3 linked regions of the Saccharomyces cerevisiae S288C genome follow. Changing the gene in region 3 together with the main gene of any one other region gives a genetic interaction. Each region holds a gene or a part of one and is shown on either strand. Other genes may lie near its edges. The genes, in order: FAU1, OPT1 and MUP3.

Region 1 (9,471 bases), on a different chromosome or scaffold from region 3:
AAGCAACTAGATTCAATCCTAGGTGGTGGAATAATGACAATGAGTATCACTGAAGTATTTGGTGAATTTAGGTGTGGTAAGACACAGATGTCTCATACTTTGTGTGTTACCACGCAGCTTCCGAGGGAAATGGGTGGTGGTGAAGGGAAAGTAGCATATATTGATACAGAAGGCACTTTCAGGCCCGAGAGGATTAAGCAAATTGCAGAAGGTTATGAATTGGATCCCGAGTCATGTTTGGCAAACGTTTCATATGCTAGAGCCTTGAATAGTGAACATCAAATGGAACTTGTTGAACAATTGGGTGAAGAACTTAGTTCTGGAGATTATCGCCTTATCGTGGTAGATTCTATAATGGCAAACTTCAGAGTAGACTACTGCGGTAGAGGTGAACTAAGCGAAAGACAGCAAAAGCTAAATCAACATCTTTTCAAATTGAATAGATTGGCAGAGGAATTTAATGTTGCAGTATTTCTGACAAACCAAGTTCAATCAGACCCAGGTGCTTCTGCATTATTTGCCTCGGCAGATGGTAGGAAACCAATTGGAGGGCACGTTCTGGCACATGCGTCAGCAACAAGGATTTTGTTGAGAAAAGGGCGTGGTGACGAAAGAGTTGCCAAGTTACAAGATTCCCCAGATATGCCTGAAAAAGAATGTGTCTACGTAATTGGTGAAAAAGGTATTACCGATTCAAGTGACTAGTTTTTGTATACTTTTTTAATGAAGATGACATTGCTCCTTTATTAAACTTTTCTTTTACTTTGTGTTACTAATATTATTAATATCTTGTTATGATTCTTTGTTTTAGCAGCTCCAAAAGAAAGGAATATTATAATATAATTGTTGTAATTCGGAAAAAAAATATTAAATTACTATGGTGCATATGCGTATATAAAATTGAGCATTACCTAACGCCATATATTACTATCTAAAGTCCTCACAGATGATGTGTTTTCAAAATCAAATGATTGGAGCTCCTCATCATCATCCCCGGTAAACTGCTCGGTTTCAGATCCATTATCCAGATACCTCAACGGGCTAGTGTACGCAATTGAAGGGTACCTATAAAATAAAGTACGTTCCTCTTTCAACTGAAAAAACCCCCGATAATCCCTTGACAAGAAATAATACATAATATAATCTCGCTTTCTGACAAGACTTTTCAGTTCTTGGTACTCTAATTCCCGTTCGAAAACCGGATATGTGCCAGCAATTTCGTCAGTTATTATAGCGTTTATAATAGCCTCGTAGTCATCGGGCTCAATTCTATTTTCGTAGTTGAACAGACGGTAAAAAGGGCTACAGTCATAATTATGCTCGCATTCCTCGAGAATAATATCTGAATCAGATTGTAAATGTATGATATTTCTTGGCGTTACAACAATAGAATCCTCAGGCCCTGATATTTTCTCTATAGATGGGGAATCCGGTATATAGTCAAGGTTGATATCTGTTAATTCATTTGAATTTAGGTTAGCGCGAGCTTCAATTTCGTTAGGCTTCTTGAAATTTGCCTTAACTGGGATTTGCTTTGCCAATTTTTTGTCATCTAGCTTTTTTCTATGATTGAAATTTAGGTCACGAAGCCTTATATGTTCAAGATCCTTGGATTTTGTAGCAGCTTTTTCCTTTATCAAGAAACTGCTTGACTTCTTTTGCGAAAAAGGGTGGGTTTGATTTTCATCTTGATGCAACCTCTCATCGACATCCATTTTGTCACTGTGTCTGAGAATCTATACTTCAGGGCCTGCTACAAGAAGTAGAAACTAAAATACAATGTTACAAATGCGAGAAGGGTTTTTTTTATGATCATGAGTGACCGCAATAAAATCTTTCGAAGCTTTTTCGAATATTTTAACATTTTTTCTCTATAGCTTCTTTGTGGCATCGCCCATGGGATCAAACCATACTGGTTTCTTTGTAAAACAGGCGCAAAATATAGAAACTCAGAAAAAGAGAAAACGAGTAGTGGAAAAATTTATCAGCCATTTATGCGACGCATCCGTTTGACTGATCTACCTATTTAAAACAGAAACCTACGTTGAAAAGTTATTTTTCCAACACATTACTGGATCTCATCAAATTGCCAATGTAATCTTCTAGATAATCATTTTCTTGCTTTAGTTGCTCACACACCTCTTGCTGCTCTAAGGTTTTATTCCACAACAAGTCTAATGTATCCTTCAGAAGTTTGGTTTGGCGCATCATCCTCTCATTTTTTGTTCCAGCTTCTCTTTCGCCAAGATTAACTTCAGAGGATGGCTGCTTGCCCGTCGGCGAGCCAGTACTAATGTTCTCCGCTGACATTGTCCTATTTGTTTGTTTGCTATTATAATTTATCTAGTCAACAACTTCGCAGATCTACAAACTGGTCCTTAAGATGTTTTATTGAAGACATCATTTTTTATTTTTTTAAGCAGAACGTGCTGTGCTCTCCCTTTTGGGCCTTTTTACGATTTTCAAAAAAATTGGTCTCTAGCGGGATCGAACCGCTGATCCCCGCGTTATTAGCACGGTGCCTTAACCAACTGGGCCAAGAGACCTGTAATCTGTGTTAAACCTGCATAAATTATGAAATCATAGCAACGTTTCAAATACTTCAGATGCCCCCATCCCTTCGTGTAGATGATGAAATGAAACTCTAGAATATCATCCATTTAGTAGCATTCTTGCTGCTGGTATAGTATCATATGAGATCTAGGAAGATGAAATGAAGCTTGAGAAAGAGTTAGCAAGTTTAATGGAAGCTGAAATGCAAGAATTGATAATGTAATGGGAAAATGAAGCATATAAAACGATAGGAAAAATAATCGTAATATTATTGTATGCAAATACCGATTAAATTTGAGGATCCCTATACCCTTGAGGAGAAGTTCTAGTATGTTCTGTATACATAGTATTGAAGCCTCTATCAACAATGGAATCCCGATAATTATCACAAAATTCACACAAACCTCAGATAAACGTAACAGTATTAGCATACATAATTATACCCAGGCTTCTCCCACAGTGCGCATGATTCGCTACGAAATCATCAATTTCACATAATATTGAGATTGCATTTGTTTTTGTTTCTTGCGTTGTCACTTTTAATTCTGCTGTATTATCAACTCCTGCACTTAGCTTCTGCAAGATAAAATGACGACTTGAGCATCATTCTCAGATTCAGTTGAAAGTTGCTGACGATTTTCAGGGGTCCCATTTCTAGTAAAACGACATTAGACATATACTAGAAGTTCTCCTCAAAAGATACAGGAATCAATAAAAGAGAATCGGCAATTCTAAATAGCATATTATTATTACTTCTTTTGCTTTGTAAGTTGTAATTTACAATCCTATTACATTATCGTTTCTTGATTTCAACTTCCATTAGATTTGATTATGACTGCCATCATTTTGGGTCACCGTACGTGAACATTGGTTTGCAACAGGAATAAAAGTCTTGAGATGTTGTACTCTGAGCAAATAAACAAAAGGAATTCTTTCTAATATTTCACAAAACTGATTTCCAAAAATGTCTCTAAGTACTCCATTAGCGACACATTTTACATTTCATTTATTTAACATAATACCTTATTTAAAGATTGATTAATTTTCGATGAGGCATACCCCTTGGCAGAAAAGGAACAAACTCACAAAGTGCACAAAGAGTTTATAAAGAAACTAAGAAAAGTAAGGAAGAGAAAGAGACCGTACCAGCAAGGCCAAGATGTTTAAAAGAATCGCAATAGCCCAGATAAGAACGTATACAAATGGCGTTGTTTTCAAGACAGCCTCTAAACCCAAAAGAAGATGGATTCCATGGACAATTTTTGGGGGAAGTTTTCTTGGAGGGTGGTACTTGACACAGCATATGACGTTCACGGACTTACTAGCTTATTGGAGATATGATGCCCTACCCAAGAACGCAGATGAAGTCGTCAAATATCACGCTGATCTGAATAGACGTTTAAATGGCCTACCCATAGTAAAACAGTTGGAGAATGCTGGTTTTGTACAAGTGATTGCTAATGAAGAGGAGAACTTGTTAGTGTCAAGGGCATTAAATACACCAGGTGGCGTCGCTATACCACCAAGAGTTTACTACAACCCCAGTAGGCGTGAAACTGTCGGGCTATACCATTTAGGAATGAAACTTACTGGTTATCCTTTCTTAATTCACGGAGGCATTTTAGCAACAGTTATTGAAGATTTAATGAAGGAGGCCATTAGACTCGAAAAAGGAACAAAAAATATAAACCAAGAAACCAAGAATTTGAGTATCTCGTACAAGTTCCCCACGTTAGCTAATCAATTTGTTGTAGTAAGAACCACCGATCTTCAGCAATACGGTAACAAAACTAAATTAAAGGCTGAACTTATGGACCAAAGTGGCAACAGGACATTGGTCAAAGCTAATGCCACGTTTTCTAGCGAACAAGGGAATCCAAAAGAAGAAAAATAGATTTGCCGTCTACTTATTTATTTATTTATTTATTTATACAATAGCTGTACCATGTAAATAATACATATATGAAATTATTGAAACCAATGTATGGATCCATCTCCGCATACTATACAATCCATGGAATAATCATGTTTTTCTAAAGGAATTGGAGAGGCCACCTGTTCCATAAGACATAGTCCAACTAGGAGGGGCTTTTGGCCTTCATGCAGTATCTTATACCGTTGGAAAAAATCGTCATAATACCCAGCACCGTGACCCATCCTTGCACCAGTTTTAATATCAAACGCCACTCCAGGCACCAATACGACATCTAGAATATCTGATTCCTCAATATGCGGTTCAGGCTCTTTTAGTTGATATGGACCTTGAGGCTTCAAATCACGAACCATTTTCAAACTACTCATTCGATGGAATATTAAATGTGGATGATGATCTTCCCGTAATTTGAAGTGTTTCGATTCAGAAGTATGAGTACATCTTGGCAGAAAGACCTCCTGGCCATCTTGAAATAAATTCTTAATGATTTCTCCAGTCGTTACTTCTCCTTTATCCATGCTCATATAACACGCTACACGCCTAGAATTGGCGGAAGCGATCAATGAGCGTACTGCTTGAGAAATAGTATGCGACTCTGCAGCGATAATATCGTAGTCAAGAGCATTTATTACCCTTTTGATTTGACGTCTCAGTAATTGCTTAGTGGCCATTAATTTTTTGTAGCTATATAAAGATAGCGTAGCTGACAGTAATTTTTATTTTTGCCATTTCAATGATTAAATATTATTCGGAAGAAATCTGAGAAAATTATATATATCCTTCAAGAGAATGAAGCTGCTAACTGATTAATAAAAACAGCTTTAATCACAAATCTCTCACGACATGAAATAAAACACCCTTGCAAACAGATGTGGAAGACTGATTGCCACAAAGCTTCGGGCTCGCAAGCAGAATGGTTTTCAGGAAGTGACTTACTAAGCTCGAATATTGTCCTAGATAGCAAACAGGCCTTTGATGGAATCAGTTTGTCTCCTGAAGGTTTTTTTGAAATAAAATGATAAATGAGAATAGCAGACCAGTTCTACGGGTAGGATTGAGATATAAAACGAGAAAGGCACTCTCTCACTGAAAAGTAATGAAAAATTATCAGAACTCCAATCTGCTGTCTTTACATCCTCGAGAATATCGCTAAGCTATCGATACTACGAATGATCCAGATACGACAGTCTTCGCTGGCGATCTTTTTGGACTAAATTTGCTCACTGATACACTAAAAAGCCTACGCAACTACACAAAGGTAAGAAACCACAATCGCTACCCATTAATCCTTATTGGCATTGTAGCCCCATATAATAGAAGTGAAAGAGTAACATTGCGCCATTTTTCGCTACTAAATAACCTCAAGAAATGTGTCCAGCTTATGGTTCCCATAGAGCGAGAATATATGACTTAAAGCATATCCCTGAGTGGGTTGCACTGGTACACACTCTGTGATGGTGGAGCACATTAATTAAAACTCAAAAAAATTATCACGATATGGACAAAAATCTAAATGGGCAAGTATCTCTCACAAAAAGACCTCACGTATTTTATGAAATTACAAATTGACGTATTTCAACCTTGTTTACTCTAAAGTTCCCCCATATAGCATAGGGGTGCTTTGGGTTTATTTAATCGTCAAATATAGTCCGATTTGTCTCATTATTCTTGTGTCGGAAAAAAATTTATTGAAGCGACTACTACCTAGATATTCTGCAATTTTTCCTATAATATAATATGCCTCACCCCAATCAGTCCCTCTTTATGACAAGAAATAAGACTACAGTGTTACATCAGATACTCCACATTCCCCCTATCGAAACCCAACAAGAGCGCTATCTCTTATACAACATTTCACAAAAAACATGTGATATGCTTTCAATTGATCCTATCAATATCAAAATTATCATTCTCACTGCATTATCCTTCATTTTCGTTAGTGCGCATCCTCCATTTTGGGACGTGTCTACCAAATAAAGAATGATGCGAGATACAAAGTAGGTGATAACATCAGAACCCGGTGTTAGAATGCAAGGTATAATCAGCAAAAAAAAAAAAAATGTGTAAAAAAAAAAGGTCGGTTACCAGCTTTACTAAATGTTTTCTATTGAATAAAATCATAGAATTCCATAAGTGACTGTGACATTTTCCACCCAGTTGATACAGTTCAATGAATTCTCACTGCAGCTATATTTTGGATGCTTCTCCACTTTGTAATATACATTGTGATGTTTCTTTGATGAAAGATATAAAATATTAAAAAAAGTTGATTCTTACATCTCATCTTTGTCATAAAAATCCTCTGGAATGGCACCTTAGAATTTCTAGGCACAGGAAACTATTCGATTTTTCTAATATATGAATCTAAGTCAAATTCAATATCTATGTTATTTCAGAAAGTGGAGTAGGTGTGCTTTTAAGAGAACGGATTTATGACGGAAAACTAGGTTAAATAGACGAAGAAAAGCTGAAGTAATTATCGTTTTGCTGAAACTTTCAGGATAATCCCTATCATAATATATTCCTATCAAGCGATGAGCAACGGAAAGCTGTGAATTGTGAATGTAACAACAAGACTATGTGAAGCAATTTTTAAGAGTTATTTCATTTAGCAATCTTTTGAGACCCGAAATACTCAAAGAACGATAAAATCGTGGGACGAATAATTAGACTAGCAACAATAAAAGGAGTAAATACAACTAGATTTGTGAGTGTGTGTAATTGCGTGTAGCTTGAAAGACTTACCACAGTGGTATCAACACCATACTCGAATCGTTCTAGATCTTGCATAAAAAAAGGACATTTACTTTTACTTACTAGTTATGAGCCACCTTTGATTTCATGGTACAGCCCATAACCTTCCTGAAAGCGGTGCATAACGTAAGGGACTAGATTAGAATCACAAAACCTTTTATTGCATTCTACAGTATTCGTCTAAATCAAGGGATTTTATTTCCTAATTGAAAGTGATCAATTGTTTAGGTGCATACTTGGTTTTTACTCTCCGAGGTTTTCTTTAGTAATACCAAATTCAGTGTCCTCCCAAAATAGATTGAGAAGGTCTGGTAGAGATTCTGCAGTCACAAAATTTTCGAGGCTACAAAAGTCCATGCCAACTGAAACACTGGTGCTGCTGGGTGACAACTTCTCATAACAAGCACCTTCTTGATTTTTTCCCTGTACGCCAATAACTCTATTATTCACCAAATCACCCATTTCCCTATCAAGAATGCTGAGAATTTCTTTACGGAAGCTTGATTCTTTGTGTTCGCCTATAATATTCCTGTACCAGATACATTCAATGTCCAACGCAGCTTGACCAGCATCTGAGCAAGCCTGGCCATATTTTTTCAATTCACAAAACAGCGATTCCTTAGCCATTTTCTGTGAACGTGTGTACATCTGACAGCAGATGCGTGTTAGGATGAAAGAAACCGCTGTTCCATTTTCCAACTTTTTAGAGAAGGCGTTGTTGCCCTTGAAATTAACATTGCCAGAGCTCACAAATAAGTCATTATATGAGGCTATCATGCGGCACATCAAGGATAAATAACATATCGAGTTCCTTCTAGGGGTCTCGATAAAATTCAAGGTAATATTCATCAAGATGGCATATATGAACCACGAACAACGGAAAATATAGAACGTATCTTCGTGCTTGAGAACATCCGTCAAAATATCTACAGATGCTTCAAAGGTTTGAAGCCTGATGTCCTTTACGCAGGAATCAAGTTCAATTCTCTCTCTTTCTTGTAGAAGATTTTGTATCCTTAAAATTAAACTCTCCATTCCCTGAAAACAACAAACCTTTGCAAATCCGAAATGGGTGTATAGTTCAAATACATTACTATTTTCAGAATATTGTTTGAGGAAAGGGATTAGTTTGTCTTGTATGCACTGAAAAATTTTACATATTTTTGAAAACTCTACCATAAGCTGTCGTGCGGTTCCATTTAGGTCTTTAGCGTTAGGAGTTGCAAATAATCTGTAGTCTGTAAAGTGTCGATTATAAAGCAAACCAGAGAATACCGCTGTAATAATTTTCGTTAATAGAATATAGCCGAAAGAGATACAAATATCAAACTTACTTGGGTCGAGCTCCACCAAGTTTATTAAAGTAAAACAGTCCATCGAATCATCTACCCCTAATCCAACCACATCCTTGGGAAAGAGACACGAAGTCATTTCATGTGGTATCAATGGCTGCTTACCGGTGACCAATGAATACCATCTATCCCACCAGTAGCAGTCCCACCATAACTTACGATATTCTTCGGCAGTGTCCTCATCCTGACCAATATAATATTCCCAACGATTCAAACCAGCATCCAAACTTCGCCTGGACATCGTGGAAATAATTCTTCCCAGCACAAAAGGATCGTCTATCCAATATCTGTGTTTCATCAACGAGACTAAGCCCTTTAAAATAGTCAAGTCGTACATTGTCGAAAATAGGGATCTTTCAAAATATTCAAGACAGAGACAAAAAATCAACTCATCTTGCTCAAGAAAATATTTCAAAGGAAGTAATTTTTTGGAACTTTTACGATCCAACGCCTTGTGGTGCTGTTCCATCAATTGTACTCCGTACATAAACCAGTCTGTTGGTTTATTGAATTTGATTGTTTGGTTAATGTTTGTATTTCCTTTGATTTCATTCGATATATTTGACATAATGTGTTGAATAAGTACGTCGTTCCCACATGAAAGTCCGTTTAGCTTTGAATAATACTCTAAAGGAGATATCGAAGTTACTTTAGGACCAGCATGGCTAGCAGAGCTAGCGTCAAGAAACTTCAAAAATAAATAGATAGTTTCTCTCGTCTCCCTATCATTCGAACATGAAATCAATTTTTTAGTTATCCAGCTAATACCCGTAGAGGCAAAATATAGCAACGGTGAATAGACCCCAAAGTACATACTGACATTTTGTGCAGTATTGCTTTCAAAAGCGTTGGAGAACCTATTCAAAGATTTTGACTGTT
Region 2 (11,609 bases), on a different chromosome or scaffold from region 3:
GATATATTTCTCGGCCTTTAATAATGGCGCAACTGATTTTAATTATCTTTGAATGGCTTATCTGTAACGAACATGTGTTACTAAACTAGTAGTAAGTTAGAAATACTGTTTATCCAGAATATGTAAGTTGGTGCTTCTAAAGTAATATAAGACCGCTTTAATTTGTTGTAACCTCTGAAATACAGGTAACCGCTGGGTCATCTCCTATCTAACTTTTGGTAAAAATGACATCGAAAAGAACAATTTTCGAAATATTCAATTTGTTCGGGTGTCGGTTTAATGCTCAAGGCCCCAATATTTCATAATAGGATTCTAAGAATTGCAGAAAATTCAGCTATGTTTCACCCATTTTGTTATTGGTGAAAACCGCCAAATCGATATCGATATAGTCACATTTTAGAGCGTGCCGATAGTCTCTAAACTTACACGAACGTCATTATTTGTAAGTAGACAACTGGGAATTTTAAAAAAGGTTGAGAAGATTCGTTTTATAAAATATGACGTCGTAAAAGAAGAAAGTGACAATACTGTTGCTGCGGGTTAAAAAAATAATTCTCCTACAAGCTTGAGACCTTTATTACAATTCCTACCTAAATTGGCTCTTCAGGGGGGTTTTCTAGGCAGGTATCTCTAGAATTTACTCAAGAAGTTTATTTTCTAGTGCCAAAAAGTCTACTGCTGATATTCGCTTCTACTGATTAAGAGCTGCTTTAAACCATCTTGTTGCAACATTGAGTTTGGACTTAAAGCCTCAAGTTGTTAGTGATGTTGCTTTTCAGGATGACGTGTAGTTGATCATCTTACAGAAAAGGAAGCAATGGTACGTATAAGATATTATTTTAAATGAGAAGTAGCTGGTCTTCAAATCACAGACATTGTGATGGCAAAGCAGTGATAAATAAAGTTTTCACACCCAAAGCAACATCTTTCCAAACCGTTTGTGTGCCGTGGTGAACAGATAGAAGAGGGCACTGTTATTCAAATTTTGAGGGTCGGGAGAATTAACTCGTTAATTATTCCTGGTGTCGAATTTGCGTCATTCCTAAACTTGGATATTCTTATATGGCAAAAAAAGAATTTTTTATGCCACCAACACGACGGCATATTCTGGAGTGATTATAGCCACTGCTAACAAGATAAGGCGGTAACACCCGATTGTGCAGATGTCCTCATTTATCCTGTTTCCGAGCATTTGATTAACCGTCTCTGTGAGACCAGTTAAAGACCTCTCTCAAGAAAAATATGTAAATTTTTTTCAGCCACTTTATCGGCACTGGAACGAAACGATATGGTATTCCCAGTATCAGCCACGGCCCCGTGTAAGCCGTAAAGTAAACAAAAATTTTTACCACTAATTTCGTTGCGTATCAATTTATACTATTCTTTGTGAAAACCTACACAGACTACCAACAGAAATTTTTTTGGTCAAACGAGTCCAGTCTGGTTATTCGCTGGTTCATGTAAAATGTTAGCACCATCTACAGATTCCGAACATTAAAATCGTATTATGCATAATATAGACATTAATGAGCAATCTGTTCATTACCCCCTTATCGTATGGCAACAGCTATTCCTGATGTAATAGTGATGTTATATTGCTTTCGCCATTATTAATTTTGAGGAAGCTTTCCAAACAGATTACATAGCTAACTAATTGCAATTTTGCGACGCCATAAGGATACGCGATTTCCTCCTTTTCTTTTTCGCGTTGTTCTGTGCGCTCTTTTTTTCAGCCAAAAAGGGTTCCTGAACAAAAAGACCCTGTTTTTTTTCTGCCTGTTAACTCTGATCTTAAAAAGTTACCAATTTTCTAACATTTCTCAATAAAGACCCTTCGATAAACAAGATTCTTGAGAAATAAAAATTTTTGTGACGTTTACTTTTGAAAGTCCTTGAAGAATTCATTACTAATAGAGAAAAAATGGTGATAATTTTTTTACTTCACCTCCTTTCTACTATCCCTCTTATTCGGATTATCTAGCTTTAACTTCGCCAGTTTTTTCTTGACACACTTCACAGATGATGGTGCCTTCATGTCGGCATGACGCATTATCTCCATACTAAAAAATGATCCGACAATATCTCCTTCCTATTTGATCAGCCTCTTATCGTTCGTAAACGACGTAACTTGACGGAGAACGGAGAACTTGTTGAATAGAGAAGAGTATGTCGGTAATTGATCTCCGATATGAGCGAATATAAAAGCAACATATTTGCTGGTATGTAGCGTAGCTTTTCTTTCCAATTGACGGGACATCGAAACAGTATATTAACCGAGATAAAAATGACGACTTATCAAATCGATGTCAATGAAGGAATGAACAAGTCCCTGGCCGACTTGGTGGCACCATAGCGCCCAGAGCCACTCAAAAATTACTGTATAAGTAACACTAATTTGATAGATGTGGTAAGCGGTGTCAGTCTCCTCGGAGCTTACATCTTCATAGAACAGGGTGTCATTTCCAAGGTCGAATTTGGTTCTGAAAAGCCGGTAACCGTTGATGAAGTTGCCTTTGAAATTATTGACGGCACCGGTAAGTATGTCACTCCAGGTCTGATCGACAGTCATGTCCACATTGCGTCGGTTGCAGGAGAGGCTGATCTGACCAAGTTAATGCTGATGCCAAAGTCAGTTGCATTACTCAGAATAAGATACACTTTGGAAGCCGCTCTGGCAAGAGGTTTCACAACAGTGAGAGACTGTGGGGGTGCAGAAGGCTTTCTGAAAGCAGAGATTCGTCAGGGATCCTTGAATGGTCCCAGATTAATTACGTGTGGACATGCCATTTCCCAAACTGGTGGTCATGGCGATCTGAGATCTGGTGCCCTACCTGCTAGTGCCTTTGACAGCTGTTCATGCCACTTTGGTCAAGTTGGTGTTGTAGCAGATGGTGTTCCCGAATGCTACAAAGCGGCCAGAGAAGAGTTTAGAAGAGGTGCAGACTTTATTAAGATTATGGGTGGTGGAGGTGTGGCCTCTCCAACTGACAAAATATCAAACAAACAATTTTGCGACGACGAAATAAAAGCACTTGTAGATGTCGCAAATAGTTACCACACATACGTAACAGCACACGCCTACACTGCGGAAGCGATACAAAATTGTATCAAGTTAGGTGTTAAGGGTATCGAACACGGAAACTTATTAGATGAACGTACCGCAGAGCTTATGGCAGAATTGGGTTGCTACTTGACTCCAACACTAGTTACCTACAAAGTGATGGGTTCTGATCAATTTAGTGCATTCTTGGGACCTGAAAATAGTAGAAAAAATACAGAGGTGCTTTACAAAGGAATTGATGCAATGAAAATTGCCCAGAAAAAAAAAGTTAAAATTTGTTTTGGTTCAGATTTATTGGGTCCTCTATATGGTTATCAAACGCAAGAGTTTCGTATTAGAGGGAAAGTTCAAACGACACAAGAGATTTTGCTCTCAGCAACTGTTACTCCTGCCGAAATGAACGGATTAGGCGATAAATTGGGACAGATTAAGCCAGGGTTCATTGCTGACCTACTGATGATGAAATCAAATCCGTTGGACGATATAACGATTTTGGATGAACCCGAGAGCAACATACTATTTGTCATGAAAGAGGGAAGGATATATTGATGTAGTTATAGTTGTTTTCACAGTCAGCATTATTTCTGAATGCTAGAAGCCTTTTTTTTTTTGAAGTCATAATAAAATATTTGGCTTGTAAATTTAAGTATTGAAGTCAAAATATCCTACTTATATCACAGTGAAATGTGAGGTGGATATGGCCCTTTAGGGCCCTTAATTTTACAAGTTACAGAATCTTTTTTTTTTTTATAGCATTTGTAAGGTCCGTGTATTCAGAAAAAAATCCAAGCTTAAAAAAGTGTATATAACATTTGGTATCTGAAATACGGATCTATCATAAAATAGAACACCTCAAGGAGGTATAAATTTTAAAAGTTTTTTTATTGTATGCTCGTGCCCGTTTTTTCTTAAAGTCGGAATTTGTTATCGAACACTTGGCATGCGCTAAAGATCGTTAATTTACAAAAATAAGGCGGATGAGATGCCTCCGCTAAATATTGCAGGGGTCGCTTTGAATGTTTCGACCAAAATGTGCTCTAAAATATAGAAATATCATTATTAACAGTATAATTAAACGTTGAGATAAAGTATTTCAAGTTAAGCAATATGAAAGGATGACAGAAAAGAAAATAATTTCTTAATATTACAGAATATGAACTAAAGTTTGCTATTACGTGTGCCAAATTTTGAATTAAAACTTGATATGAACCTCTGCAGGTTTATTATTATGTTTTCATGATTACCACCATTTATCATAACCAAATGTCTCACCTTTCTTTAAGGTATAAAATTTTTTATAATCATTATCATACGTTCTTTTCCAAACGTTGTTTCCCCACCAGCTGAGCTTACCACCTGGGTACTGTACACACAAGAAGATGATGACGACGGAGATTGCCACACCTGCTTCAACACCGGCCCCCATGACGAAATTGTACTTATTGAACCAAGCTCTCCATCTTTTTCTTATCAAGTTTAGGCAGAATGACATTGCAAAAAATAATGAGTAGTTATAAGGTGTGCTTGGTGGAATATTACCTGGGCCTGTGAAAAATACAGGAGTATGAATGTGCTTAGCAAATTTAAATTTAGGGAATTTCCATTGAACAGCATAAACGGCTAGTGGGAATAGCAAACCAATCAAGAAGAACCACATCAGCGGATTATAAATGCGCCCTGATGAGAAAAGATACTTTGGCAAAGACCAGATAATGGAAGCATTGAAAACCGTGCGACCATTAGCACAAGTGAAGCCATTTGGTTGATCGGTGGTACATAAGCCATCGATATTATGCATCATCCATTCCTGGACACCAACGTTAACCATGCCTGATATGATAGTGGCATAGATTTGAACGGCAAAGATCAAACGAGGGGAAACCTTCATGTACATGGCTAATTTCAAATCTCTACTCAAATTCAAGCCTTGTCTCATGACAATAAATCCGTATAGCTTGAATAATAAGTTTGCCATTGGTCTTAAAGGCAGCATATAACCGCAGATCAATTCTGTGATAATATTCAAACCTACGTGTTGGTTAGTCATTGCTTCCAAGATACCTTGCGGGATGAAATTTACAAGGGAAATTAATATTGCAATAACAAATGCCCAAGCTGGGAACTTAGTATCGAAACAGCACACTGCTACAAATCCTAAACCGATCATGACAATCTGCAAAAGTAAATACCACCAATCGGGACAATCCTTATAGTTCTTGGAGTAGATTCTCATGTGAATGTCAGTGCCACCATTTTTACGGTCTTTAAACTTGGCGACAATATCTTTACCGTGGTATAAGATGCAGTGGACAAAAACGGCGATAACAGCGGCAAAATTTAAAGCATACGACAAAAGATAGGAAAATGGAACGAATACCGGTGAGTATTCCTTATATTTCTCAAGATTAATGGAATAATCCTCGTTAAGAATCTTTGTTACGTTGTATTTGTTTTGAGTGTTGTCATAAGTAGAACCTGAAATGACGGGCATGTATTTGGCATACCAGGTATTCGTAAAATAAAGACATGGCAGCACTATGACGAAGAATATCAACACTGATGCATAGGTGTTGGCGGAGACGTAGAATGGTGTGGCGAAAACAGAGCCGGACATGGCTTGGGAAACCTGGGTGTAGTCAAATGTAATTGGCAACGCACCGAGACCACTTTGAGTACCAAAGATTGTGTTAGCGATGAAATTGTGTCTTGTCTTCGACCCCCATAGGATAACGTTGAAATAGGACAGACCGGTAAAGAGGAATCCAGGTACCCAATACCAGATGAACGATCCGATAAGGACGATTAAGAAGAACCTGTAACGGGGCATCGTCCAACCATTTGCGACTGTCTTTTCAACTTTTCTCGAGTGCAACGAATCAAACAAGGACACTGAAATTAAAGTCTGAGGCCAGATAGAGCTTGCAGGGTTGACGACCCATCTTCTGGTAAGACCTGCAGCACCATAACCAATCATTTGAGATGTCCAAACCAACAAGAACTGATATCCGACATTAAGTTTCATGTTGTAAAAGCTTCCCTGGGCGTTCAAAATGTACATAGCGTATGCAGTAGAGGAAGTAAGCGCCACGGCAATTGTGACCACGGCGTGTTCCTTTTTGGTAAATGGGCCCGGGTTTAAATCGAAAAATGGCACTTTAGAACACTTCCAGTCGGGCAAGAGAGCCAGTATCCTACCAATTGGGTAGCAAACAACTTGTGCAACAAGGAAGTTGATCTCTAGCGATGGATATCTCAGGGAAAAAAATTGATTAACACCGGCGAAAACTACCACAAACACCGTGGTCAAGAACCACGTTCTCCAGTGGTTGAGGCGGATGGTGGGGTCATCCTCGATGGACACCGCCGATCTCACTTCAGGATATGGAGAATTGGGCAAGTATGTAGGGTCGCCCTTCCAAACGAGACCTTCCTCCTGTATGGAATGCCTGTCGAATTTTTGGCTTTCCGGATCGCGGTCCTCCTCATCAGTAGTCGCAGTGAGATTATTGACGTCCTCGTCAATATTCTTAACGAAAGCATCTTTCTTTTCCTCTTCCATATTGATCTGGATAGGAATGGTTGTTGGCGTTGGCGAGGGCTCCGACTCCAACGAGTCGCTCTCCCTATAAATGGTACTCATGTGTTCTGTGACGTTATATAATTGTTGCGGTTATTTTCTGCCACACAGTCGAAAACTTTTTACCAAGAATACACAGCTTCCGATGATTGTCCATATATAGTCGAAACAATTCATTGAATAGCCCAAAATTTGAAAAAAAAAGAAAAATGATGGGCACCCCATGATGATAAGAGCTCTCTTTCTTCAACAACGATTGCTAAGGCGTTTACAGACCCATCGACTGCCCTTGCAGTGGGTTTGATGTGATTAACAGGCAGCAGCAACAAGCAACTGCTGAAAACCTTGGTGCCTTGCAGACGGCTATTGTCCTGGATTTTGTGTGACAAAACGTAGATGTGGCGTCTTGTAGTCGGAGGTGTGGCGGGCCGGAAAAATAGTGGAAAAAAAGAAAATTAATGCGATAGCGACGGGCAGGTAGGGAGGTTTGAGGGGTCCGTAGTATGCGTCTATCGTTGCAACAAGGGTGACTAATGCCATGTCTTGGCCTTTGATGCAACGTCTCGGAAGTTAGTATCGATCCGAGGAGTGGAACGGATGCGATTTCCCCTCCATTCTATCGATAAGGTTGCTGGGAAACGCATTATAAGGGATGAGTGAAGACGGAGGGAAAGCATAACGAGGAGAGATTGCCGAGATAACTGAGAAGACGTAATCTAAAGGCAACGCAGCATGTCTCGAGTTGCACAGCTCGACTCGATAGCGCTTGATAAAGAATTGTATGGACAGTTTTGGTCCGAGTTCAATGCAGCATTCAATACGAGTGAACACAAAGAGGAATGGGAGTTGGCACTGAACACAGTTGTGTTTATGTGCGCGACGAGGTTCCTGCCACACTATGGCTCTAGCTGTACGTATGGATCCGCACTCAGTGGCGTGGTTTTTCAGTGCAGGAAACGCACCTTGTATGTCGTCACTGTCTTGGCAGGGTACGTGTGGAAGAAGATCACACATATTATTTTTAATGGGCCGCACTGTGGGAACCAGATGATGTGGCTGAAGCTGTACAAATGGGTTAATTTATTGTATCACGGCTGTGATGTAACCAACTTCCTGAGGTTTCTAGCAGCGGAAGGGCCCAATGCGAGGGCGTTTTTGTCGCCGTTATACCGGGCTTTTAATGTCCATTCCACAAGGTTGATTCGGGATGGTTCTGCAATTGCCTCTGAATTTTATTCGAACTCTGTATTCGCTGGGTTAGAATACCAGAATAGACAATTGCTATGGAATGCACTATTAGAACTCTTTTCCAATACACTACTTACGAAAAGAGGACTCTTGACCTTTGTTAAAAAACCACCAAGGTCTCGTTCTACGACTACTTATAAGACAGTTTGCCCCCGTTGCGGCGGTTTTCCAACCAACCCATACCAGATCGCTTGTTGTCGTGCGAACTACTGTTACGTGTGCGTTGTAAAGGCGTTGGAGTGGTCTATGTGCGATGCCTGTGGATCCTCTGGGAGACTGACCGCCTCACCAGTGTACTAAAGGGCCCCGTTCCCTCGCTTGTATCTCTATATATGTGTATACTATATTCATATTCATGTTGTCAAAATCGGTCACGTGGTAAAGGGTCTGGTTTTTTTTTTTTCACTTTCTGCTCAAGAAAAAAAAGAAACAATAAAGAAGTGGTATAATATCATCATGGAACGCTGTACGGGACGATGTGGGAAGCGACGTCTGAAATCCAGTAATAATAAACAGTGAGCACTTTAGGATAGCAGTAGTTTGCATTTTGCACGTTTCCCTTTCCATGCAATGTTTTTACCTCGTCTCGTTCGGTACAGGACCGAGAGGTTTATAAAAATGGTACCTACCAGGACCTTGCGACGAATCAACCACAGCAGCAGGGATCCAATTCAAAAACAGGTCTTGGCCCTTATCAAAGCAAATGCGAATTTAAATGACAATGACAAGTTGAAAATACGGAAATATTGGTCTGACATGGCGGACTACAAAAGTCTTCGGAAACAAGAAAATAGCTTACTGGAAAGCTCTATATTACACGAGGTCAAGATCGAAGATTTCATCAGTTTCATCAATCGCACAAAAACCTCATCTATGACTACAAGAGGAATTTATAGAAGAGAATGTTTGTACCAATGCAAGAAAAACTTGGATCTAGTCAATCAAGTGGTCTCCCAAGTTTCATCCGTAAGACATCAAAAGCCCTTGACTACGCAATTGGATACTATGCGCTGGTGTGTTGATGATGCCATCGGCACAGGAGACATAGTTATGGCTGCCGACCTTTTCCTGCTGTACTACAGATTATTTACAGATGATAAAAAGCTAGACGAACAATATGCTAAGAAAATAATATCAGTATTAGCGTACCCAAACCCACTGCATGATCATGTTCATCTAGTCAAATATTTACAACTGAACTCTCTGTTCGAAAGTATAACCGGAGGCGGAATAAAGTTAACGAGGTTTCAATTAGAAACTCTTTCTAATAAGGCCCTCGGCTTAAGTAATGAAGCCCCGCAATTATGCAAGGCTATACTGAACAAACTGATGAATATAAACTATTCTTTGACTAACGATTTGAAGCTTCGGGATGATCAAGTGCTGCTTGCGTACAAGTCCATTGATGAAAATTATAGAAGAGGAAATGTTGCAAGTGTGTATTCTATTTGGAACAAAATCAAAGAGCACTATGTTTCCATTTCTGCACATGATTCCAGAATCATTTATAAAGTCTTCAAGATTTGTACCCATAATAGAGCCTATAGATCTATATGTAGCGAAATGTTTTGGCAATTAACTCCAGAGTACTATTGTAATAACCCTTTGATATTACCGGCAATTATTGACTTCATTACAAAGCAAGACTCTTTAACAATGGCCAAGGAACTCATGCAGAACATTAACAGATACACTTTACCCGAAAACCATCATATTGTCTGGCTTAACAAGAGATGTCTTTCTTCATTGCTAAGAATGCATTTGAAATTTAACGATTCTAACGGTGTAGATAGGGTTTTGAAGCAAATAACAACAAATTTCAGGGCGCTTTCGCAAGAAAATTATCAAGCAATAATTATTCACCTTTTCAAAACACAAAACCTCGATCATATCGCTAAGGCAGTCAAATTACTCGATACTATACCCCCCGGACAAGCAATGTTAGCCTATGGGTCAATAATTAACGAAGTAGTTGATTGGAAATTGGCTTCAAAGGTCAAGTTCACCGATAATTTGATGGCACTTGTAAACGATTTGTTGACGAAGGCACATGATTTTGATCCTGACCACAGAAACTCTCTTTGGAATGTGGTTTCCGCTTTATACATTAAAAAACTTTGTCATTATAAAAAGCGAGATGGTAAATTTGTTGCCAATGCCAAGAAGGATATCGATTTGGCAAAACTACTTTATATAAATGCTGCAAAGAGAAGTAAAACATACTGGACAAAATCGAACTGTAACCCATTCATTGCATCCTCCCCATGTGATGTCAAATTAAAAGTGAATAATCAAAACAGGTTTACTATTTTAAGGAATATTGCATTAAGCGCACTGCAGATAGGAAGAACAGACATTTTTCTTTGGGCGTGCGCAGAACTATACCAGAACGGTATGACGATTGAGGAATTGAAGTTAGACTGGAATTTCATCTTAAAACATCAAATTAGAAATTCAGAGTTCAAAACAAACAAGGAGATCATACAAGATATTAAAAAGCATGGTGTGTCGGCTGTCAAACGTTACTTAAGATGAACGGCCAAACGCACATTTACGATATAAATAACAAAGCAAATAATAACAAAACAAATTTCTGTAAATATATACTAAATCCAAGCATTGCATCCTAATTCTTTTCTTTTTTTGATCATCAAATAAATGTATTATTTTATGTTATATGCGTTAGACTTGTTATATTCTTTCATGCTATTCTATCGTTGTGTTATGAATTAATTTATATTTACAGTTTTTCAGTACATTCAATTCCTTTTTTTTGGAGGAGGTAACAATTTCACATCTTTCGATTGTTTGATCGCCGCGTTAGAGAAATCTCTCACTACAATTTGACAATTTACCTCTTTGCATAATGCCTTCTTCTTTGAAGGTGGTACTTTTTGCAGAAGTTCTAGCCCAGTACTTCTCTCTAAAGCATCTATAGGAACTTCAAAGTCAGTCAATTTCGTCTCATTTGATATCGGTTCGTTTGGCAATACAAATGCCGCGACAGCAATATCCTCTCTAGCAGGATTGGCTGTTGGTGCTTCTGCAACAATCAATTTAAAAAAGTGCGTTGGAACAGCAATACTGGGTGGATTGCCAATAACTTCATAATTAACCCTAAATTTATTATCTATGGGATCCTTTTTGGGTAGATACAATGGACCAGTCACGATTCTTACACTCTTATATTTCTTAGTCAATCCCCTACAAAAGTACTCCAAATGCGCCCAATAGTCTCTATTAAAACCTTCTCCTACTTGAGGACACATATTGGATAAGTAGAATGTATCATCCATGGCCTGTTGAGAAAATTTTGCGTCTGCAGCTGGGGCTTGATGGCCTCGATCATAGCCCGACCTAAAATAGTCTCTTAGTTTACCTCTAAACTTTTCTGGAATTACTTCATCTTCCTTGAAAAAGGAATTTTTTCTGTCAGCATTCCTTGCAGCCAATGATTCTGGCGTTATATGTTCGAGGACCCAATAAGGATTTTGAGTTTGTCTGTTGTAACATGAGATAAACTCTTCGCGGTTCTGCAGATCATGAATCGGACCAGGAAAACCATACTTGAAGAACCCGGAAGGATCGACGTTGAAAGAGTGAGATTGAATATTACTATTAGGTTTCTGGGTAGGTGGATAAGGTGTCTCAATGATTTGCGTTGGAGAATGTTTGTTCAAAAGAAGATAGGTTAAGCCAGTACCAGCACCCAGTCCGACTAAA
Region 3 (10,457 bases):
TATGAGAGATACGCTGAACAAACTAGTAAAGGAGTGGAGGATGCTGTTCCAAGCTTTATCTATTGAACACTCTTCTCAAGATAAGCAGTTCTTGTCTTTATTCCAGGAGAATAAAGACTCTGCCGTAGTGCCGTTGGAACAGTTCTGCGCACACATCAATGGATGTAAACTAGAAGATTCGGAATGGAACTCGTTCGTGGCGTATCTTTGGTCGTACTGCATCTTTAATTCTAGGGCATTTCCTCGTGTCATTTTAGGCAGGGCCGGTACAGACCGCACCAATCTGAACGAAGGATTTTTGTATCCAATAGTAGATTTATTAAACCATAAAAACGATGTACCAGTAAGATGGGAGATGAATGAACAAAATGAACTTTGTTTCATGTCGCAGACTACCACATTTAGTGCACAGGATGAATTGTTTAATAATTATGGTAATATTTCTAATGAAAAATGTTTGTTAAACTACGGGTTTTGGGATTCCTCGAATAAGTTTGACTTCTCTAGGTTGACTTTAAAGCTACCATCCACCTTAGTTAGCGGTTTGCCCGTGGATTTTAACAAATCAGGTAATTTTGTTACTGACGATGGAGAAACTACCATTTTACAATTTAGTTTAAAAATTTCTGAACCATTACCACCGGTTCTACTAGCGTTATTTGCCTACCTAAGTAAATTAAAGTCTGAAGAAACTCCAACCGTAAGGAGCGTATTGGAAGGTATTGATCAATTAACATCTGTAGTATCCCAGAGATTGCTGTTTTATAAGAATTTTAAAATTAAAACTTCTTCGACTCAAAAATTACGCCCTCATGTTATTAAACTAATCAAACTATACTATCAAGATAACAAAAAAATTCTGAACGCCACTACTGAGAAATTGTCCGTTTTACAAAAAAAAATATATAGCAATAATAAGGAGTTTTCTCTGTCATTCAAGACAATTTTTAAAAACGACAAAATATTTGCCAATTCTCTCTTACTGGTATTTGGTGCTATAAATTACGAAGATTTGATCACAAAAGACTGTCTTAATGACGCATTGTTGCTCTGGATAGTCAAATTAATCAACGATAAAAGTAATAATCAGGGAGGTTTCATTAAACAAACCTTCAAAGAAGTTAGTGATTCAATTGTCATTGAAAAAGAAGATGTTATGGAGTTTTTGCCGTTCTATAAAAAATACTTCCCTAATTTATCGGAGAGAATTCCAGAAATTTATAGTGTCGGTGATTGGGGCATAAGACAGTTCATTGTGGCAGATACTGCGATTGATAGATTGGTTTGGATCAGGAAATCAAATAAAGAGCCTATATTTCTAATGAAGAAGGCATACGACTTACAGATTTAGCTTTGATCTGTAGCCTAAGTATAAAATTCTACGTATGTATATATTTACATGCAATTTTTTCTTTTTCCAATTCATGTTAATGTTCTTCATCATTTGATAATAGGCCAATGATATTATCTACTATCTTCTCCTTTTGAGGAGAAGCTGCTTTCACTTCCTCGTTGCTTTTCTCTTCGTATAAATACATGAATTTCGACTTGTCCAGCATTTTTTTATCAATACAATGCATGTGCCCATGAAGTTCTACCTCCGACAAATCTTTAACAAAATATGTCGTTATTTGTGTCATGAATTTCAGTAGGGTTTGAAATATTTCGGGTATGGCGTTCTTCTTATCCAGAATAACAATTTTGTAGTTTGCTGATAATGTTATTGGACGAAGCTGGATGGGCCTATTTACGCGGAACTTTTCGCCATATATTTCCTGTTCGAAGTATAAAAGTTGGTTGGCCAATTTCTTTAATCCGTTTGCAGATTGTAGCGATTGTTCATTCGCAAAACCAGGTTCTATTGTTGCATTTATTGACTCAGTGAAACCCACCAACTCCATTAAAGTTGGTCTTAAATCATCTTGCATAAACTTGTACAAGTTTGGCTGGAAAATTCTAATCATTTTCGATTTTGTCAGCACGGTTTGCAAAATTAATGTGATGTGTTCAAATCTTGATAAAGTCGTTTCATCATTTTGGAAAATAGAGAATTGGTTCCATTTCATTTCTGAAATTACCAGTGCGGAATATGTTTGTAGGTCATGAAGAAAAGAGTCGTATTTTGTCTTGTAGTTGATCAGAGAAGCTTGGTCCGTGGGTATTTTCATGGACTCGGTCTCTTGATATTGCTTCCATATATATGAGTCCCAAACATTCCAACTAAATTGAAAGGAAGGCGCATTATCGTTACCAGAGAAGGAACGGATGCTTTTCTTGTTACGTTGTAAAATGGTGAATATATTGTAGAGAATGAAATTTTTGCAAAATTCAGCCCTCAATTGCCGGATGGAGAAGTCGTTTGATAATATTGTAGCTCTTAAAATGTCTCCAGGGCACGTTCTGTCTTTGTTTGATTGTTTGCTCCACAATGTCTTATGGCTAACCGATCTTTCTAAAAGTTGCTTCAAAGTGACGACATTACCACCAGCGATTCGAGTTGTGGCACTGTTTGCATCCAGATAGAATGGTTTACCCTCTTCGTTCGCCAGTATCCGACCAGCGTTAGCCTTCTCAATGCGCTTTCGTTCATTCAAGGTGCAAAGTGGCGAAGCTATCTTGGTCTTCAATTTGTCTACCTCAGTAACGAAAAATTCTCTATGTTTATCTACAAAGTAAGGGAAAATACCAATTCCATCGAATTCCCCAATCATCGCCTCATCGGAAACCTGGAAAAGAGGCAAGGGCTTTGCATTAGCTGGGTTTACAAACATGGGTACCTCACCATTATTTTGTTCCAAGAGTCTATCGTAAGTGCTCTTCTTAACCCCGATTCCCCGACAAAAGTTTGAAAATATCGACTTAGGCCAAATTACACGCTGCAGTTTCAACTTATCATCTTTGCATCGTACCCTTATTAATTGTTGCCACTCGAAAGATGGCTTGAAGTCCTCATCCATTTCGCTGAACAACTTCTCGTAGAGACTTAAGGGGTGGTCAAACATAGGCGCAATCCGTTCCCAGTGTTGGATCCTCTTCTTCGAGGATTTTTGAGTTAGATCTGTTCTAACAATCTTGAATGCGTGTTCGCGAGGGGCGTTTATATCACGTAATAGCAGTTTTTGCAAGTCCGTGAGTGAAATATTATACAGTACTCCTTCAAGATCACAATATTCATAAGATAAGTTTGTCTTCTTAAACGCTTGCTTACAGCGAGGGAACACCTGATGTGTGATATTCTCCATGTTGAACTTATACCTGTAACGAGAGGAACTGCCCTGTCTCCTCAATGAGACCATGAACAATGTTTGCCAATTCACCATTTTGGTCACTCTGTCTCAAACCTTTCCTTCAGCGCAGCCTTACTCCTTCAAGAGAAGCCTTCATTGTCCATTCACTTAAGCATAATTTGTCATCTTCAATGCAATTGAACTTTCACTAAATACACCCATACACACCAATCTTGGATTCTACTCGGCGGCAATCTTCACTCTTTCCTTTGTTTTATCATTTTCTATTCCACCTTTAGTTCCCCAACTTCACCTCTTATCGAACTATCAACACATTTGACTATCATTTTGGCAAATTCACTCACGTGAGGGCGTGTGCTAACCATGCAAGGGTTATGGCATGCGCATCCATGTGGCGTTTCCTACTTTTATTTTTACATAATATATAAGATAATTGCACATGCAAACAGTCAATCTTTTTCCTGCAATTGATGTGGAGACCAAAAGGTTTGCATCTCCTAGTACCACGATTTTTTGGTGCAAAAGTGTTGATAATGTAATTCAGGTAGAAAAGGTAGAAGTTTCCTCTAGTATGTTCACAGATTGGATTAGAAAAAAAGATCACGCGACTCTTGCCGGAAAAAACTGTGGCGTCGCTGCATATATATGACAAATCAATCATATAGATTAGAGGCCTGCCTGAGTCAAGGGGCAAAAACAATACACATATAAAGACCTGGATGCTTATCGATGATCTGTACATTCTGTTTGTAGTCTAAGTTGCTGAGGGCAACGTAGACGTACAGTGCTCAAAATAAGTAAAAATGGAACCGCTGCTTTTTAATAGTGGGAAAGCAAATCCCTCTCAAGATGTTTTCATAGATGTGGAAGTTGGTGATATTACCACAAAATATGGTTCCACAAATACTGGATCATTCAGTTCGATGGATACTGTGGAAGCGCAGGCGATAAAGGCAGAGACGGCAAGATTCATGGAAGTTCCACAGGGAAGACATTTAGGTGTGTTCTCCACGGTTGTGTTATTTGTTTCGAGGATAATGGGGTCAGGTATATTTGCAGTACCCAGTGTGATTTTACTGAATACAGGTGGTAATAAGCTGATATATTTTGCGATCTGGGTTTTTAGCGCTGCGATCGCTTTTGCAGGATTGTATCTTTTTCTAGAATTTGGTTCCTGGATACCGAAATCAGGTGGACGTAAAAACTTCCTCGAACGGAGTTTTGAAAGACCCAGACTATTAATTAGTGTGGTGTTTTCGTGTTACAGTGTTTTAACTGGCTATGCATTGACGGGATCTATCGTCTTCGGTAAATACGTGTTGAGCGCATTTGGAGTCACGGATGATTCGTGGTCCAAGTACGTCAGCATATCATTTATAATATTTGCCGTTCTCATTCACGGTGTCTCTGTAAGGCACGGAGTGTTTATACAGAACGCACTTGGTGGTTTGAAGTTGATCATGATTGTCTTGATGTGCTTTGCCGGGCTATACACGCTTTTCTTTTATAAAAGCACCGGTCAAGTTGCCTGGGACCTCCCAGTAACCCAAGTTGAGAAAGATTCTCTCCTGTCGGTGTCCTCTATTGCTACTGCCTTTATCAGCTCATTCTTTTGTTTTTCTGGATGGGATACAGTTCACACAGTTACATCAGAAATTAAGAATCCCGTTAAGACGTTGAAGGTGTCAGGTCCCTTATCGTTGATAATTTGTTTTGTCTGCTACACAATGATGAATGTGGCATACTTGAAAGTTTTGACATATGAGGAAATTGTTAGTGCAGGCCCCCTGGTTGGTTCCGTGTTGTTTACCAAACTTTTCGGACCCAGAGTTGGTGGCAAATTCATTGCTTTTTCTATCGCCATTTCTGCAGCATCTAATATTCTGGTTGTCATTTACAGTATATCAAGAGTTAACCAGGAAATATTCAAAGAAGGTTATTTACCATTCAGTATTCATATGTCCAAAAATTGGCCATTTGATGCACCTCTACCATCTATTTCTTTATGTGGCTTTATAACCATTGCTTGGATATTGATTTTACCCAAAGAGGGCGAATCCTTCAATTATCTGGTATCGATGGATGGTTATGGTAATCAGTTTTTCTTATTATTGGTCGCTATTGGGCTCTTTATTTGGAGGTTCAAACACAAGAACGAAGTCCCAGAGATTCGTGCATCTACTTTTGGAGTATTAGCCATTATTACATTATCATTATACATGTTGATGGCACCATTCTTTGCCGACCCTAGCCTAAACAGAGTTGGGTTCCTGCCGCCCTACCAAATCATGTCATTACTGGTAATAGTTGCATGCTTCTTTTTCTGGTTAGTTAAATTCGTTTTACTACCTAAATTCTTCCATTATAAACTTTTACCCAAAATCACTTATTTGCATGATGGGCTCATTGTCACAGAATGGGTGAAAAAGCCATGTCTGTGTTAGTTTTTCCTTTTCTACATAAATATTTTATAGACTACTATTGCATTTTTAATAAATAATATTCATCCTCATCTTTGAATAAAAGAAAGAAACATTCGATTATTTCATCATCTTACTTGATTGCTTGGCTATTTGCTTCAAAAGCTCTAGGCCCCCACTGTCACGACACATACTATAAAATATACCGCGTTCATCTTTCAACAGTTCACTAGGGCGATCATATTCTTTTACCTCACCGGCATCCATCACAATTATCCTGTCGTAATCGATAACAGATCTCAAACGATGTGCAATAGTAAGAATTGTGCTTTTATTAAACTCACTTCTTATAATACCCTGAATTAAATGGTCAGAATCGTAATCAATAGAGGAAGTAGCCTCGTCCAAAAGTATTATCTTTGGCTCGCGTAACAATGATCGTGCAATAAAAAGCAATTGCCTTTCACCTTGGGACAGATTTAAGCCGCCCTCAGCTATTTCTGTGTGAAGATTTAAAAATTTATTATGAGTGCTGTTAAAGCGTTCCTCCGAGTTAAGCACTTCTTCAAATTCATGTGAAGAAATTAGATTTACTTGTGAAAGTGCTTTGAATATTTTTTTTTCATCATATTCATCATATGGATCAACATTACTTTTGATTGTACCTGCAAATAGAATAGGGTCCTGAGGGATGATAGTAATGGAACGACGTAATGTAACGAGATCAATTTTACTTATATCCTGCCCATCTATTTTGATACATCCGGTTATTGGTTCTAGTAATCTGAATAATGCCGTTATTATGGTAGATTTGCCTGCGCCAGTTCTTCCGACAATCCCAATCTTACTTTGAGGATCCACTTTGAAACTAACATTTCTTATGACAGGAGGCAAATTTGGCGCGTAACGTAAAGATAAGTTTTCAATTTCAATTTCTCCATCTTTTGGCCACGATGGTTCGTTTAGAAGTAGAATGCGGCCTTCATCATGGCCAAGATAGTTCTCTTGTTCAATGCTAGAATATTCTTTTAGTCTTTCAACAGAGTTCATGTTCATTTCAAATGTTGAGTACAGTCTAACTAACCATAAAGCACCATCTGTAAACAAAATGGCATATGTCAAAGAAATGCCGGCAAGACCCGAGTCAATATTTGCAATATTGAGCAGAATAAAAGAACCTGATGCTAAAACAATGAATGCGCCAATCATGTCGACTCTAAAAGAAAACCATTTGACAGTAACTGATAAATAAAAGAATGCTCTGTTATTTTGGTCAATTTTGTTCATATTTTCTAAAATGAATCTCCTCTCGTCGCCAAATGCACGAATTGTGCAAACGCCTACCAAGGTCTCTGAGAAATGTTGAAAAATGGGTGATTTGGTTATTGAATCTAACCTTTTCAATTCTCTACTTGCCGTTAAGTACCATTTCCCCACAAAGAAATATAAAACAAAAACGATAACGGCGACTGTCAAAAAGCGAGGAGTTATTACGGTAATGAGAAATATAATTGATGCGCATTGAATTAGGCAAAATATAGTTACTTCTAAGTATGGAATCAATTCTTGATCAACACCTTCGATGTCCTTTGAAAAGCGATTCATGATTCTACCAACCGGCGTCACGTCGAAAAATCGTATTTGGGCATGTAGAACTAGATCTAGCAGATTATTAAAGATCTTTCTGGAGGCTCGCATACCGGATAAAAACGTCATCATTGTTTTAAAACCACCTAGCATTGCCTGAATGATACCAATAAGAAAATATACGGTTAAGTAATAAAATGCATTATGTTTATTTTTCGAAGAGTCGGTCATCCCTTTTAATGGCAGCGTGTCCATCGCAAAACCTGGAGCATTTATTCGTACATTGGTATCGTTGACCCAATGTCGTATCCACCAAGACTGACTGATGAACAAAATTTGAGCTGTGATATAAAGAGCGAACAGGGCTGTTAAAGCTTTGAAGCCTCCAAAAAATTTCAGGTACCATTTATAAACATCGGGGCTTATGGCACCGTTTGATTTTTCTTCCTCTTCTATTAGCTGGCCATCATTGACAAAATTTGCATCAAAATTTATGTTCTCGGTGACAGGTTCGATTTTCTGAGAGTCATTTTTTCTGGGAGCTTTTAATCTATTAGCGTTCTTTTCATTAATGCTATCTCGAGAAGAAAGTTGAACATATTTTTCCTTAAAAAGCCCTTTGCTTTGTAATTCTGTAATAGTTCCTTGATTCTTCACTTTGCCATTTTCCAACACAATCGCGAAATGGGCATTTCTAAGTGTTAATGAAACATTGTGCGTAACTAAAATGCAGGTTCTATTTTTCATTAGTGGACCTGTGATGCAATTTTCATAGATCCATACAGCAGTATGTGAATCGACAGCGCTCAAACAATCATCTAGTAAGACATGCTTAGCACTCGAATAAACAGCTCTCGCCAAGGAAATTCTCTGTTTCTGCCCTCCTGATAAAGTTATACCCTTTTCACCAATTTCTGTTAGGTCACCTGCTGGTAAAATCTCCAGGTCTCTTTTCAGCCCACATGCATCAATTACTTTGTTGTACCTATCCTCGTTATAGAAGTTATCAAAGATAATATTGTTTTTTACCGTGTCATTTAATAGCCACGCACTTTGTGAACAATATGCGAAGGAATTGGTTAAACCTTCGCAGTCGGGAATTAAATCATGCTTTGGTTCTAAGCTCGGAACAATGATAGAGCCACTAATTAGATTTAGTTCACCCAGTAAACCCAGCAGCAATGCACTTTTACCAGATCCTGTAGAACCCAAAATCAAATTTAACTTACCAATTTGAAATTTAATATTCAAACCACATAATTTGAATGCATTCATATCGCTGTCATTTTCATTCCAGGTTAAAGTCGCATTTTTAAATTCAATTTTATTTTTGTCTGGAGATATGGTTAGTTGATTATATTTTTCTGTATCGTCCATCCTTAAAAAATCGCTTATTCTTTTTAGAGAGACTTTTGATTGATTTATGAAACTTAGCATATTTGATAATTGATCCAGGGGTGTCTTTAACAAAGTGAAGAGTGACAAAGTAGTGAAAGCAAGCGGGGCATTCAAATCTTCATGTTGAACAAATGTACAGATGGCGAAAGTGACACCTGTCACCAAGGTCGGTGTCACGAACCAAAGAAAAGAAGTTACGGACCACACCAAAGATTTTTTTAATAAGGATCTTAATTCCTTTTGCCTTATTGATTTGATTTCATTTATAATATTCCTTTCCCAAGCAAAATATTTGACAATTCTTATGTTCTGTAAGCACTCGTTCAATTTTGAGATTCTTTGGTCAGTACATTTCAGTGTTTGCTTTTGAAACTTACCTAACAAATTCGCTAACAAGAAATTCAATGGGAACATCACTAAGATAATTGAAATTCCTGCAAAAGCTGAAACACCTAAAAAGTTGAAAAGTAGTCCTACAACAACTATTATCATAATTACTGCCTGAACTGTCACATAAAGGTAGTTTGCTAGTTCCGATACCTTAAATGAGTCAATAGAAATGAGATTAATTATGGTACCAAGGTTTGCGGAGATACTATCTGAATCAGAGCTGGTTTTTGGAGATGTAAACAGCCTCCTACGTAAGCCTTTTGCATAAATTTCTCCTATGAGTATGGCTCTTATTCTTAAACAAATCTTATCAGAAACAAATTGACCTTGGGAATTACAAATTGCTAATGTCAATCTACAAATGAACATACCAATAATATAAAGCCACGCCAAATTCATGCATGATGAGGAACGGTTTGGGTTATCCACAATTTCTAAAAATCTTTTCATTAAAATTGTGGGAAGAAGGTTTACAATACTGTTCACCAGAACCCATAACATTCCTATGAGTAAATATGTTTTGAAAGATTCAAACAGTGCTAGCGTCAAATTATTAATGTGCTTGTTTCTCCTGGTAAACCCTTTTAGAATGAAAATGCTATAGTCTTCCATTGATAAGCCCCAAATATCCTTTAACTTAATAGTGTTCTTTTGGGCCTCCCATATAAAATTGGTAATCCAGCTCCAAGTAATGCAACTTAAAATTGAGGATATGTGTTCCCTCGAAGGAGACGTATGGTCGTCTCTAACGTAGATGATGGATGAGTTGTCTTTAATCGGTGAAGTGAGCTTTATTGGCTGTAAGGTTGAAGTAATTACGAATTCAAAGATGTAAAATATCTGTGAGGGTACATCATCGATATTACCAATATAGACCGAACGAATTGGAATCCAGGTTGAAATCCAAATAGTTGTATGGGCAGTAAAACAGATGGCCCAAAGATTCGTTGAACGCTTGTAAACTCTTAAGATACTTAGGGAAAGTAGTATTAACCAAAATAATAGTAAAGTTGTAACATCTCTGTTCGTTAATTCAATATTGATTTTTGTTACTCTTAAAAAGGAAAGGCCAATTATTTGTAAAGACATTAATACAATTTCAGATGATTTTCTTAAGTGGTCACTAGTAGACGGTCTACTAAACGTTAGTCCACCATGATTTTTAGCATCGATTTGCTTGACATCTATAGTTGTTATATCAAAATGTCTAAGTTTCAAAATCCTTCCTTGCTTTTTGACGTTGACGTAATTGGCTTGGGTATTTGAGTTCCGTAGAAGTCTTTCTATACTATTATCTTCTTTTCTCTCTTCTTGTGCGCCAAATAGATATTCGTTCACTAAATCGCACTCGGCAGATCTTACATAACGAGATAATCCACTGCGACAAAGTGCGAAAATGCCAATTGAGGCTATG

Evidence for each region.
Region 1: mutations in MUP3 (region 3) and FAU1 together harm fitness more than expected from each alone (negative genetic interaction), as found in Saccharomyces cerevisiae (one large-scale study listed by BioGRID).
Region 2: mutations in MUP3 (region 3) and OPT1 together harm fitness less than expected from each alone (positive genetic interaction), as found in Saccharomyces cerevisiae (one large-scale study listed by BioGRID).

Annotation. Positions count from the first base shown.
Region 1 is NC_001137.3:548,813-558,283, forward strand, and holds FAU1 (5-formyltetrahydrofolate cyclo-ligase), read right to left. Parts: upstream 5,158-9,471; coding exon 4,522-5,157; downstream 1-4,521. Other genes in the region: recombinase DMC1, read left to right, coding at 1-705; ISC10 (Isc10p), read right to left, coding at 912-1,715; SLO1 (Slo1p), read right to left, coding at 2,053-2,310; YER181C (uncharacterized protein), read right to left, coding at 2,661-2,984; FMP10 (Fmp10p), read left to right, coding at 3,713-4,447; TOG1 (Tog1p), read right to left, coding at 7,484-9,471. UniProt on the Saccharomyces cerevisiae protein: Only enzyme known to utilize 5-formyltetrahydrofolate (folinic acid) as substrate. Contributes to tetrahydrofolate metabolism in an alternative way of folate biosynthesis.
Region 2 is NC_001142.9:29,549-41,157, forward strand, and holds OPT1 (oligopeptide transporter OPT1), read right to left. Parts: upstream 6,702-11,609; coding exon 4,302-6,701; downstream 1-4,301. Other genes in the region: YJL213W (uncharacterized protein), read left to right, coding at 2,615-3,610; PEX2 (ubiquitin-protein ligase peroxin 2), read left to right, coding at 7,371-8,186; CBP1 (Cbp1p), read left to right, coding at 8,457-10,421; NUC1 (ribonuclease), read right to left, coding at 10,646-11,609. UniProt on the Saccharomyces cerevisiae protein: High affinity transporter for glutathione. Also transports tetra- and pentapeptides like the opioids leucine enkephalin (Tyr-Gly-Gly-Phe-Leu) and methionine enkephalin (Tyr-Gly-Gly_Phe-Met) across the cell membrane.
Region 3 is NC_001140.6:22,190-32,646, forward strand, and holds MUP3 (Mup3p), read left to right. Parts: upstream 1-4,051; coding exon 4,052-5,692; downstream 5,693-10,457. Other genes in the region: EFM1 (protein-lysine N-methyltransferase), read left to right, coding at 1-1,351; CBP2 (Cbp2p), read right to left, coding at 1,428-3,320; YHL037C (uncharacterized protein), read right to left, coding at 3,589-3,990; putative ATP-binding cassette multidrug transporter VMR1, read right to left, coding at 5,789-10,457. UniProt on the Saccharomyces cerevisiae protein: Very low affinity permease for methionine.